Tribolium castaneum: one gene and its partners. The protein of the gene in region 2 interacts with the protein of the main gene of each other region in a pairwise test. Links are inferred from orthologs where the notes say so. Each region holds a gene or a part of one and is shown on either strand. Other genes may lie near its edges.

The links. The genes of interacting proteins can lie anywhere in the genome.
Region 1: the proteins of dock (region 2) and SH3PX1 interact in a two-hybrid assay, tested with the Drosophila melanogaster proteins (2 studies listed by BioGRID). The link is inferred for Tribolium castaneum from reciprocal best matches to the Drosophila melanogaster genes dock and SH3PX1.
Region 3: the proteins of dock (region 2) and Dscam1 interact in a two-hybrid assay, tested with the Drosophila melanogaster proteins (3 studies listed by BioGRID). The link is inferred for Tribolium castaneum from reciprocal best matches to the Drosophila melanogaster genes dock and Dscam1.

What each region holds. Positions count from the first base shown.
Region 1 is NC_087402.1:7,277,816-7,280,648, reverse strand, and holds the end of SH3PX1 (sorting nexin lst-4), read right to left. Parts: intron 1,979-2,833; coding exon 1,253-1,978; intron 1,208-1,252; coding exon 822-1,207; 3' UTR 582-821; downstream 1-581. Other genes in the region: CD151 antigen, read right to left, coding at 235-306.
Region 2 is NC_087398.1:11,595,758-11,599,386, reverse strand, and holds part of dock (SH2/SH3 adapter protein dreadlocks), read right to left. Parts: intron 2,537-3,629; coding exon 1,841-2,536; intron 1-1,840. UniProt on the Drosophila melanogaster protein: Adapter protein that links cell surface receptor tyrosine phosphorylation to downstream signaling pathways and effectors, many of which are involved in regulation of the actin cytoskeleton.
Region 3 is NC_087395.1:21,566,271-21,569,930, reverse strand, and holds part of Dscam1 (Down syndrome cell adhesion molecule precursor), read right to left. Parts: intron 3,404-3,660; coding exon 3,284-3,403; intron 3,233-3,283; coding exon 3,059-3,232; intron 3,011-3,058; coding exon 1,952-3,010; intron 1,905-1,951; coding exon 1,749-1,904; intron 1,702-1,748; coding exon 1,387-1,701; intron 1,342-1,386; coding exon 840-1,341; intron 1-839. UniProt on the Drosophila melanogaster protein: Cell surface receptor involved in guidance and targeting of growing nerve axons.

The sequences.
Region 1 (2,833 bases), on a different chromosome or scaffold from region 2:
TAATACGTATGGCGGCATTGTAGACGTATAATTTGGAGGAGTTTGCGTGCCGTCTGTAGGTGTACTTATGTAATAAGGGCCATCGAAGAGCACAAAGGAGTGCCTTGTTCCTGACCACGATCCGTGAGAATCTCATCGAATTGATAATTAAAATGCAGAATGCACTCATTGACAAATACGGAGCTAACGTGGGCGTGACTTTGTGAAAAGTTGAACGACCATTATCACACTTACCAGGAAGATTATATTGAAGAAGTTTAACACGTTTTTGACAACGTTCAAGCCGCAGCACTCTCTGCTGCCCATTTCGACGGCCGCTTAGTGCCTTTCTGCCCCCATCTGTGAAAAATATTTTGGTTATTTTTAGGATTGTTTGGGTCGTTAAATTTTATAGCTAATCCTGCTTGAAATAGCATGAATGAGCGTCGGGTCAATTTCTAATTCCTGATATGGTCAAAGCCGGTCGATTTTATTGATGTTACAGAAGCGTCCTTTCCGTTTGCCTTAAGTGGTTTAAGGTCACGATTTCCAATTGACGGAGAGTAATGATCTTTTGTCTCGGGAGGAGAATAAAACCAGCGTTCGTGTAAGCACATTTATTACATCTGACTTAACAAAATATATAGAAATATACAATTACATTTCATGTACAAAATATGTCTCGGTGATTCTATTAAATAAAAATTAATGTAAACGTTGGAATTTCCATAATATACACAGCACGTAAGGATAAACATATAACAGATTATATAATAAAAAGTTAAATCACAATTGTTTTGGCTTGGAAATAAACACGATAGATGATAACAAGGCAAGAAAAACTACTCAAACTTCCTCAAGGTGTCTTCCAATCTGCTCACTACATTTTTGTAATAGTTGACCTGTTCTTGCAAAAACGACCGCATGGCTGACCGAAATTCGGTGTTCATCTCAGCCTGGAAATGGTCGAGTTCGGCGAAAACCGAGTAAGTCAGAACATCGGTGCGCTTCCTAACTTCAGTGATTTGCTGGTGTGAGAACTGCGTGTTCCTTTCACACTCCTTCTTCTTTTGTTCGGCGTGTTTTTGCATCGAGAAAATATCGGGGTACGAACTCGTGATCCCCCTGTAGAGGTACAACTTATCGGTTAGCGGCTGCCAATCGATTTTCGCCTGATCTTCGCACAACTTGGCGATTTCAATATAAGTGGTCCCAATTTTCTTCACATCTGAAACAACCAGATTATTCCAAGTCTCCAATCACCTGCAGGTACCTGTGGCCAAATCCGAGAACAATCCACCTTCCCTGTGCTCGAACGCGACCCCGAGCTGGAAAAAGCTCTCGCCAATTTTCGTATGTTCTCTTTTATACAAATTCTCGCATTTTTTCTGCTGATCGGACGCCGTCTGCATCAAGCCCTTGATGCACTGGTCCATTTGGTTAATGTACGATATGCTACTCTCAATTTTACTTTCAATAGTCGACGCTAACAAGTCCTTATCTGGGGCCTCGATGCACAGGCAAAAGTTCGCCCCGACTAACTGGTCTTTCTCCGCTTTTCTCTTGCCTTCCTTCCACTGTTTTTCGTTAGTGCAGGTGAGAAAATGCCTCCAAACGTCGCAAGTCGACAGAACTGGATGTCGACACACGTAATTGACAAACTCCTGCAGCTGCACTCTCCGGTGCTCGATGAAATGCTCCTCATACCGGCCCGAAATCTGTTTATCCGGTAGCGGAGGAATTGCGATTATGTTGAACTTTTCGGAGAGGCGGTCGTGCAGCCAGTCGAAGTGTTTGTAACGGCGGGATACTTCGATTCCGGTGAACGATGGTGTTAATTGATATGCGATGAATGATTTGAGGCCGCCCATTTTTGACGCTTTTTTTGGTGAGGTCACTTGGACCGTGTACGGGTCCGAGATCAGTTCCCATCGGAACACGTTGTCGTTTTCTCGAAATATTCGAATTTTTGTGTGGGATGGGATGTCTTTTAACGTGCCTGAAAAGCGATTGATCGATGAGGGCGATGCGCGCCTCCGGTTGTTGTTTTTTTCAGATTGTACGCATTATCTCATTTAATTAGCATTTATTGATTGTTTATTGGAACAATCAAGGGAGTAAAGATCGAAATATTAAATTCAAATTTTATCAGTATTAATTATTTCTATTGTTTCGTTGATAATAAACAAGGAGTGGAATCCAACATTGTTTAAAAAATGTATTGTGACTTCGTCAATATTTGTAAAATCGATTATTTTTTTTACTTTTAAGTAGTTACGAAAGACGTCTTTTTTCAGTTGGGTATAGTTTGTATTTTTTTTATTGTAACCAAGATCTCATCCAGGTCTAGGAATTACAAACCAAATACATACGAAATATAATGTAATAAACAATATTAAAAAAACAAAATATCTCGAAACTTACGCAAACGATAGCGTAGAATTTTTATGCTTAAATGTCATGTAATGTTTATTTTTTATTAATTTAATTTAGGGTCGGTTTCCCGAATTAATTTATAAAACTCAAAATTTGACGACTTTTTATTTGTAATTCAGTTATGAAAAATAGATACGGGTAATAATAATCGATCTTTTAACGTGTCGGCGCAACATAAATAATTTATAAAATTAATTTCTCAAACAGATACGTTAGCAATTACTGATCTCTAGCGCCATTTTTTAAAATACTTTTAGAACAATAGAACATTTAAGCATCGTATTTTTCAGAATGACATAAGAAATATTTTCTTGTGCATACATTTATTATGCTAATAAATTCATTAAATAATTTTGGTTATAAGAAATTATAGAAAAATTTTGAAAAAAGTCAGAGACTTATTAAAATGAATTAATAA
Region 2 (3,629 bases):
ATACATAATTTCAGTTTTATAATTTCTTAATGTTTCTTATTTTGCAGTTTTATACTTTTTCATTTCTCACTCTTTCTAGTTCTACAGAACTGGAATTTTAATTTCACTGGTTTTTAGTTTTTTTGTATTTCATCTTTTCAGTTTCTAAGTTTTTCAGCTTTTCAATTAGTTTTTCACTTATTCACTTATTCTTCAGAATTTCAGTCTCAGTTCATTTTATCTTTTTAGTTTCGAAGCGTTAAAGTTTCTTAGAATGTCAGTGTTTGAATTTTTTATTTTTCTACTTTTCAGTTGGAAATACTGGTCGTATTATTTTTTAATGTTGCACTGCCTTTTATTACTAAAGATTCATGAGCCGTTGCAAAAGCATAGCATTACGAGTATTTTAGTCAAGCCATTTTGAAATGTTATTTACTTTCTCACTTTAAAATTTTAGTTTATGCTATTTATAAAATAGCAAAAAAAACCTGTAACTTGTTGAAGCCATTGAACACGTGAAAAAAGTACTTCAGGAGTGGAAAAATTAGTTAGTGACAAATTGTATAAAATAATTATGGATATAAAAATCTAACCAAAAATAGAAATATTAATTGAATAAAAAATAATCGTAATACACAGGTGCGTGATTTTAGTAATATATATTTCTAGCGGTAATTCCATACAATGAATTCATTTTTTAGGTAGAGATGAATTCTTACAGAAAAAAGGACAGATTTTACAACAGCAAATTTAGAACAATATTTAAGATCAACGTTTAGTTAACTTCTCCTTAGCTTTTTTGTGCAATTTTAAGTGTTTTACGTATTTCGGAATGGAATTTATTGCAATAAAAATTATGTCCCTGCTGTAGGAATTAATATAAAATGTGTCTTAAGTCACCAGATTTTAATACTTAATTTCTGTTTTTTTCCAACTTTTTTGACACTTAAATAAAGTTTCTAATCTTCTAAAAATAAACTTATAAAACTCTGGCGGAACATTTTTTATTATCATTATTTATTATCTTTATTATTTTATTATAAGTAGGTGCTTTAGTCTCCTCTAAACTAAAGACTAATACATAGTCAGAGGTAAAATTAGTGCATTTTATCGACAATCAAATTAAAAGAAAAAGTAAAATTCGGTGAGGAATTCCCTAACTTTTATCATGACTCAATTAATTTAAAATTCCTCAGGGAATCTTATGTTCAACTAGCTTGAACGTTTAAGGTCTTAGTGGCTGTAGAGAAACAGTTTTGCTGACTTTTTACAAATTTCTTACACTTTTTTTGATACGGGATAGTGCGTAAATTGATAAAAGCATAAATTTTGTTTTTATTCCTAGGAAGTTTTTTCAGTAAATTGTTATACACCAAAGTTGGCTACAAAATACCCAACCACTCATATTTTAAAAATTATAATTTTATGTTCAAATTCGTTAACTAAACGTATAAAATAGTACTTATTTGGTCTTATTTTATAAAAAGACACAGTTTTTAATACAACATTTTACTCTAATTCTTTTTCAGCTTGTCGATTACATTTTTCACAAACTATAGTTGTTTTGCCAATTTTTCGTTTTTCTTAAAGAGACGTTTTAAAATTATCAACAAAAAAATTATTTGTGGCTACTTTTTACCCAACATTTGTCTTCGTAGTGTTAATATATTTTTCGACTGCATCACCTTCATCCCTTACTCTTGAGAATTTATTGAAATTTAATTGTTTTTAATTCTTTGACTAAACATTTTTAAGCTTTTCCATAACATTTCGATTTAAAGACTATAACGATAACGGAACTGGGCCGTTTTATTTGTATGTCGTGTCGTAGTTCGGGCTATAGAGGTTCAACTGTACTTACATTCGTTTCACTATCCCTGATGAGAAAATCCCCATCGTGTCCTCTCTGATTCAGGAGATTATCACACATATACCTCGTGATACTCCCATAATACCACGGCTTGTCCACCAGATGGGGTTTATCGCCCATTGCCACTTGCGACCTCTCCATCGGCTCCTGTTTTCGGTCGAGAAACGGCTGAGTCAAATACTCGGACAACTCCTGCAGGTAATTCCTCGGCACCAAGCCGACCTGTCCTTGCGCATTCCTCGCTTTGTACCATTCGGGATCACTCGGAGGCCGATCTAAAATCTCCAATCGGTCGCCCTTTTCAAAAGACAACTCCTGGTCGTTTGTCGACGAGAACGAATACAACGCCACGACGATATCTAGCACGTTTTCTGCCATCGCGTACGTGTGAAGGGTATCGTCGGCGTCGCCCTCCTCCTGGGTGTAGTTCGAAGGGAACCAGCCGGCGACGTTCCCGCTCTGACCTCGCCACCAGCCGTCGTTGCTCTTCTCCAAGATGAGAATTCGGGAACCTTTGACGAGGGAAAGTTCGTCGGGTTGTTGGGCTTGATAATTGTACTTGACGACGGCGGTGCCGATGGCTTCGGAGGGATCGGCGGCTTGACGACGCGCCATACTGGGGGATTCCACCGTCCGGGAGGGAGAGTTATTCGAAGGGAGGGTTTTAGAGCCGGCGCCCTTTTTTACCTGCCGACGGAACCAAATTTATTTAAACGGAAGCAAGGCGCAAATGAAATTACAAATAGCGGCTTGGAGAAATCACTTAGGATGTGCTCAAAAATGCCGAGAAAAACGCCATTTATCGGTTAAATTATAAATAAATGAAAATATAACTCAAGAATTCGGAACAAATGATCGCTTATGGCATCTTATCAAAAGTGAGCATGACGTCTGTTCATAATTAAGCAATTTTTAAGTCAATGTGGTGGTCCAGGCACTCGTGAAAAAACATCTTGTATTCAACACGTACACAAAATAACTAAACTAAACTAAATATTTCCTCAAATATTTCGTTTTTTTTAACAAATATCTTTTGTTTTAAGTTCAAATAATAGACAATTAATGAAACTGAGGCTTAAATATGCTACTTTGGCTTTATTTAACGCAGAAATTAATTAATAAATTAATACAAAAAATTGCACAAAAATTCAAATAACTGAATAGCCTTTATAAATTTTATAAAAAAAATAATATTTTATATTTTCACCTTATGACTCCACAATTAAAATTTTACCGACTTCATGGAATCTTATCAAAACAAACTATATAGCTATTAGCTGTTTCAAAATTATAAAAACGCCAACGTCGCATTGTTATAAATTATTTATGCACTTAAACTTAAAAAAATTAATAGTTAATGTAATTTATAATTTCGATGAGAAATTTATAATTTCATTAATAACTATTTTATATTTTTATCAATCTTATTTAAAAAAATATTCTTTAAAATGCGACACTCGCGTTTTTATAGTTTTGAAACAGCTGATAATATCTAAGAAATATCTAAGCTAATACCTATTTCCTCGAATATTGATGTTTCAAATATTTCTTCTTGTTTAGTTAAAAAAGTGAATGACTATTCGTAATAAAACTGAGATTTAAGCATGATATTTTCGCTTTATTTTAACGCAGCCTCTTCTCAAATTAATGCAAGAAATTGCACAAAATGCAAGTTTAAATTTATTACTAATTCGGATGTTCTGCCCTACGTGTAGGTTAATTTTTAAATGGAATTATTACTTTCGTTTCATTTTTTACTATGTGATTTCTCATACTATTT
Region 3 (3,660 bases), on a different chromosome or scaffold from region 2:
TTTCTTAAAAAGTAAGCCAATAATTCACAGAATTATGTCAAAAATGACATTACTCTTTCAAGTTTTGAGGATTTAAACACGTTTTTAGATGAAAAACCAAGTTTTTCTTCCATTTTTTTTATTAAACTAGAACAAAAAATCGCCAAATTTGGTCGAAAATCATCAAAAATTTACATTTATTCAGCAAAAACTCTACTATGCGCAAAATGTCTTAAAAAGTAAGCCAATAAATAGCCGAATTATACCAAAAACGCCATTGTTTTTTCAAATTCTGAAGATTTAAACACGTTTTTATACAAAATCAAGTTTTTGTTCCTGTTTTTATTAAACTAGATTTATTAATTATTTGGTTCCATGTAAAATTTTTTTGTCAACGGTTTTGCTACTCTTGGAGTGTTGAGTAAGCAAGAAGTAAGTCTAGATGACAGTGGAAAAGCGTTCATAAAGTGACCGTTAATTTTTGATTTGTTGTTTACGGACGGGTACCTTTATTTGGAGTTTATTTGTGTAGTGTTATTTATTCTGATGCTTTTCTCAAGGAAGTCGCTGAGAGCCATGTAATGGGTCTGTTACTAGGCTCCGTTAATATGTAACTAGATTTACATTACACACTGTTACTTTAACTTATTATTGAATAAACTAATGTTTTCCCCATGATAAACTGTTTTATTATACCCTCCTATTTTGAATCCTCACACACGCGTATTATAATGATCTGGTGAAAAGGCAAATGTTGATCTTTCGTATCACCACAAATCTCTGCTAAAATAACGCTGTTGCCTCTGTCTTACAAACCGAATTGGCACGAAACCACACATCGTTCCAACTAAGTCACTGACCTGTTATACGCCTTGGCGTAGACCTGGTACCGCGTCCCACACAGCAACTTCTCCAAAGTGTACTTTTCGACAGTTGGTCCAATCTGGACCGTCTCCCAATCGCCAAACTCTGGCTTGTAGTGAATAGTGTATCCATGGATCGGCTCAACATCCGACTCATGCGGCTTTAACTTAAACGTGAGCGAATTTGTGGTAGTTGAAGTGAGAGCAATTTGTGGTGCGTGTGGAGGAGCATTGACAATCAACTGGTGAGTCACCGAGTCCTGTCCATAGTCATTCTCAACGTGACACGAGTACTCCCCTGCGTTATTCCGACTGACATCACGAATAAACAGTGACCCGTCTGGTTGTTGCCTGATTTTGTCGCTTGTGGTGAACTGAACCCCCTTGATTTTCCATGTGATGACCGGTGGTGGCAACCCAACGGCGAGGCAAGGGAGAGTCACGTCTTCCTTGTACGTCGTGGTGAAGGTATCGTCAAACGAGGCGATTTTGGCTGGAACTGACCAAACATTCCTTTGGTGCTTAAACCACTAGAAAAAATTACCGCTCGCGCTTGGAGACACTGTAACTTTCTTCGACGGTTGCCCTTCTCCAATAGTGGTAGCTGCGGTAACCCAAAACTCGTATTTCAAGTTACTGTCAAGGTTTTTCGCTTGGTGGCTCAAATTCTGGTTGCGCAAGTTTGGTACGATTTTTTGAGACGTTGGCTTGACCTCGGTTTTGTCATCGGTTGAGACCGGTTTGTAGTAAACCGTGTAGTACTCGACAATGCCATTTGGTTCAACTGGGGGCTTCCAACTGGCCAAAATCGAATCAGTTGACATTACTAGAGCCTTAACGGCGATTGGAGCCTCCGGCACTGCAATTACAAAATTAGGCAAACTTTCACTAAAAACCGATAAGTACCGTCTTGTTCAGTCTGGCAGTGAATCGGGGTTGTGCGAACACCGTCACCCCCGGAAGTGTAAGCCAGGACTTCCATGCTGTAGTTGGTGTATTTTTTGAGGCCGTGGAGGATCGTTTCACTAGCAGCGGTAATTTTGGTGTCTTTGGTGTTCTCATCTGGAAAAATGTATGAGCGACATAGATTTTTTTCCAACATGACTTACCAAACCAAGTGTCTGATGGTCCATAGATGACTTTGTAGCCCTTAATAACCCCGTTGGCGGCCGTGAGGGGCGGCGACACCCACGAAACGCGAATCGTTTGGGCCGTCAAGGTGGTGCAAGTGGCCTTATCTGGGGGTTGTTCAGGTACTCCCTCAGCCGTATACGCCTTGATATCATCAGACAAGGGACCAGCTCCCACTTTATTAAACGCTTGGACCACCACAGAGTACTGGGTGTAGGTCTTCAAGTTCGATATTTTCAAATGGTGCTCCTTGCCCTCCTCACGTCCGAATTCGACGGTTTCGAAAAGGTACGGCTTGTCTGAATTAGCCAAGCGGTAACCAACATAATAGCCCAAAATATCGCCGTTCCACTCCTCTCGAGCTGGAGGCTTCCAGTAGACGACCAATGAATGCTGGTCGTTTGTTTCAACTCGGATACTGGTTGGTGGCCCCCCGGGTACCTCCTCTGCCGTGATTATGGTCACAGTCTCAGAGGGTTCACTTGACCCAATCTCATTTTCTGCGACTATGCGGATGTGATACGTGGTGGCAGGTCGCAGAGTGAAAACCCCAGCTTCAGTTTGGTCACCTGGGACTAGTACCCGTTCGGTGTTTCCCTCCCAACTGACTTTGCTTTGCTTGTACTCGATCATGTAACGAGTGATCGGGGAGTTGCCATCGAATGGTGCAACCCATGACAATTGGACGCTTCGGCCCGACTTGTCCAATACTTTCAGCCCGTATGGTACCTCTGGTACTTCTTGCACAATCATGTTAATGCTGGTATCGTCACTGCCGAAGGCGTTGGTAGCTACACAAGTAAAGAGAGCGGAGTCGGAGCGTTCTGTGCGTTTGATACTGAGGCCGGAAAGAACACCATTGGCGAGGATCTCCTCCCGGATCGTGTATCTATTGTCGCCTTTTGGTTCCAAACGCTTATTGTTGATATTCCATAAAATACCAATCGGTTTTTCGCCTTTGGCCTCACATTGGAGGACGGCAGGGTCTCCACGGCGGGAGGTTTGGTTCCTGAGTTTAATATCAAACTGTGGGGGAGCTACAAGCAACAGTTAATTTTTCCCCATTACAATATTGTGTCCAGTACCTTGAACACTGATTTGAATAACTGCAGATAATCCTGATCCAATCCCATTGACAGCCTCACATAAATAATAACCCTCGTTTGTTTTCTGGATATTGTTAATAGTAAGAGTGCCGTCTTCGACTTTAATATCGGGATTGTTTGGTTTGAAATCTTTGTAATCGCCGGGTGAAACCCCTAGAATTGAGAATTTGTAATTGAGAATTTCTATTGAGTGGAGGGACTAACCAGTAGCCCTTTTCCATGTCACTACAGGCCTGGGGAACCCGTCGGCTTTACATTCAACAGCGGCATCAGAGCCTTGAGCAAATGCTTTGTCTGTTGGCTCTAATATCCACCTCGGTGGCACTAAAAATTGCGTTCGGTCAGTCAAAATGCATTTTGAACTTGCAAATGACATGCAATTAATTTTGAGTGCCGAAATTGAGCTTCTGGCATGCATTAATAATTTTGTTGGCCGAAAATATTAAAGGACTGATTTTTTCAAAACTGAAATTTTATTATTCGAAAAAATCAGTACCTTCTATCTTCTGCACGAAGGAACTAATAATATTGTATTTGAACTTTCCTAATATTATTTCACTCCTTACGTGCCAGTTAGTAAC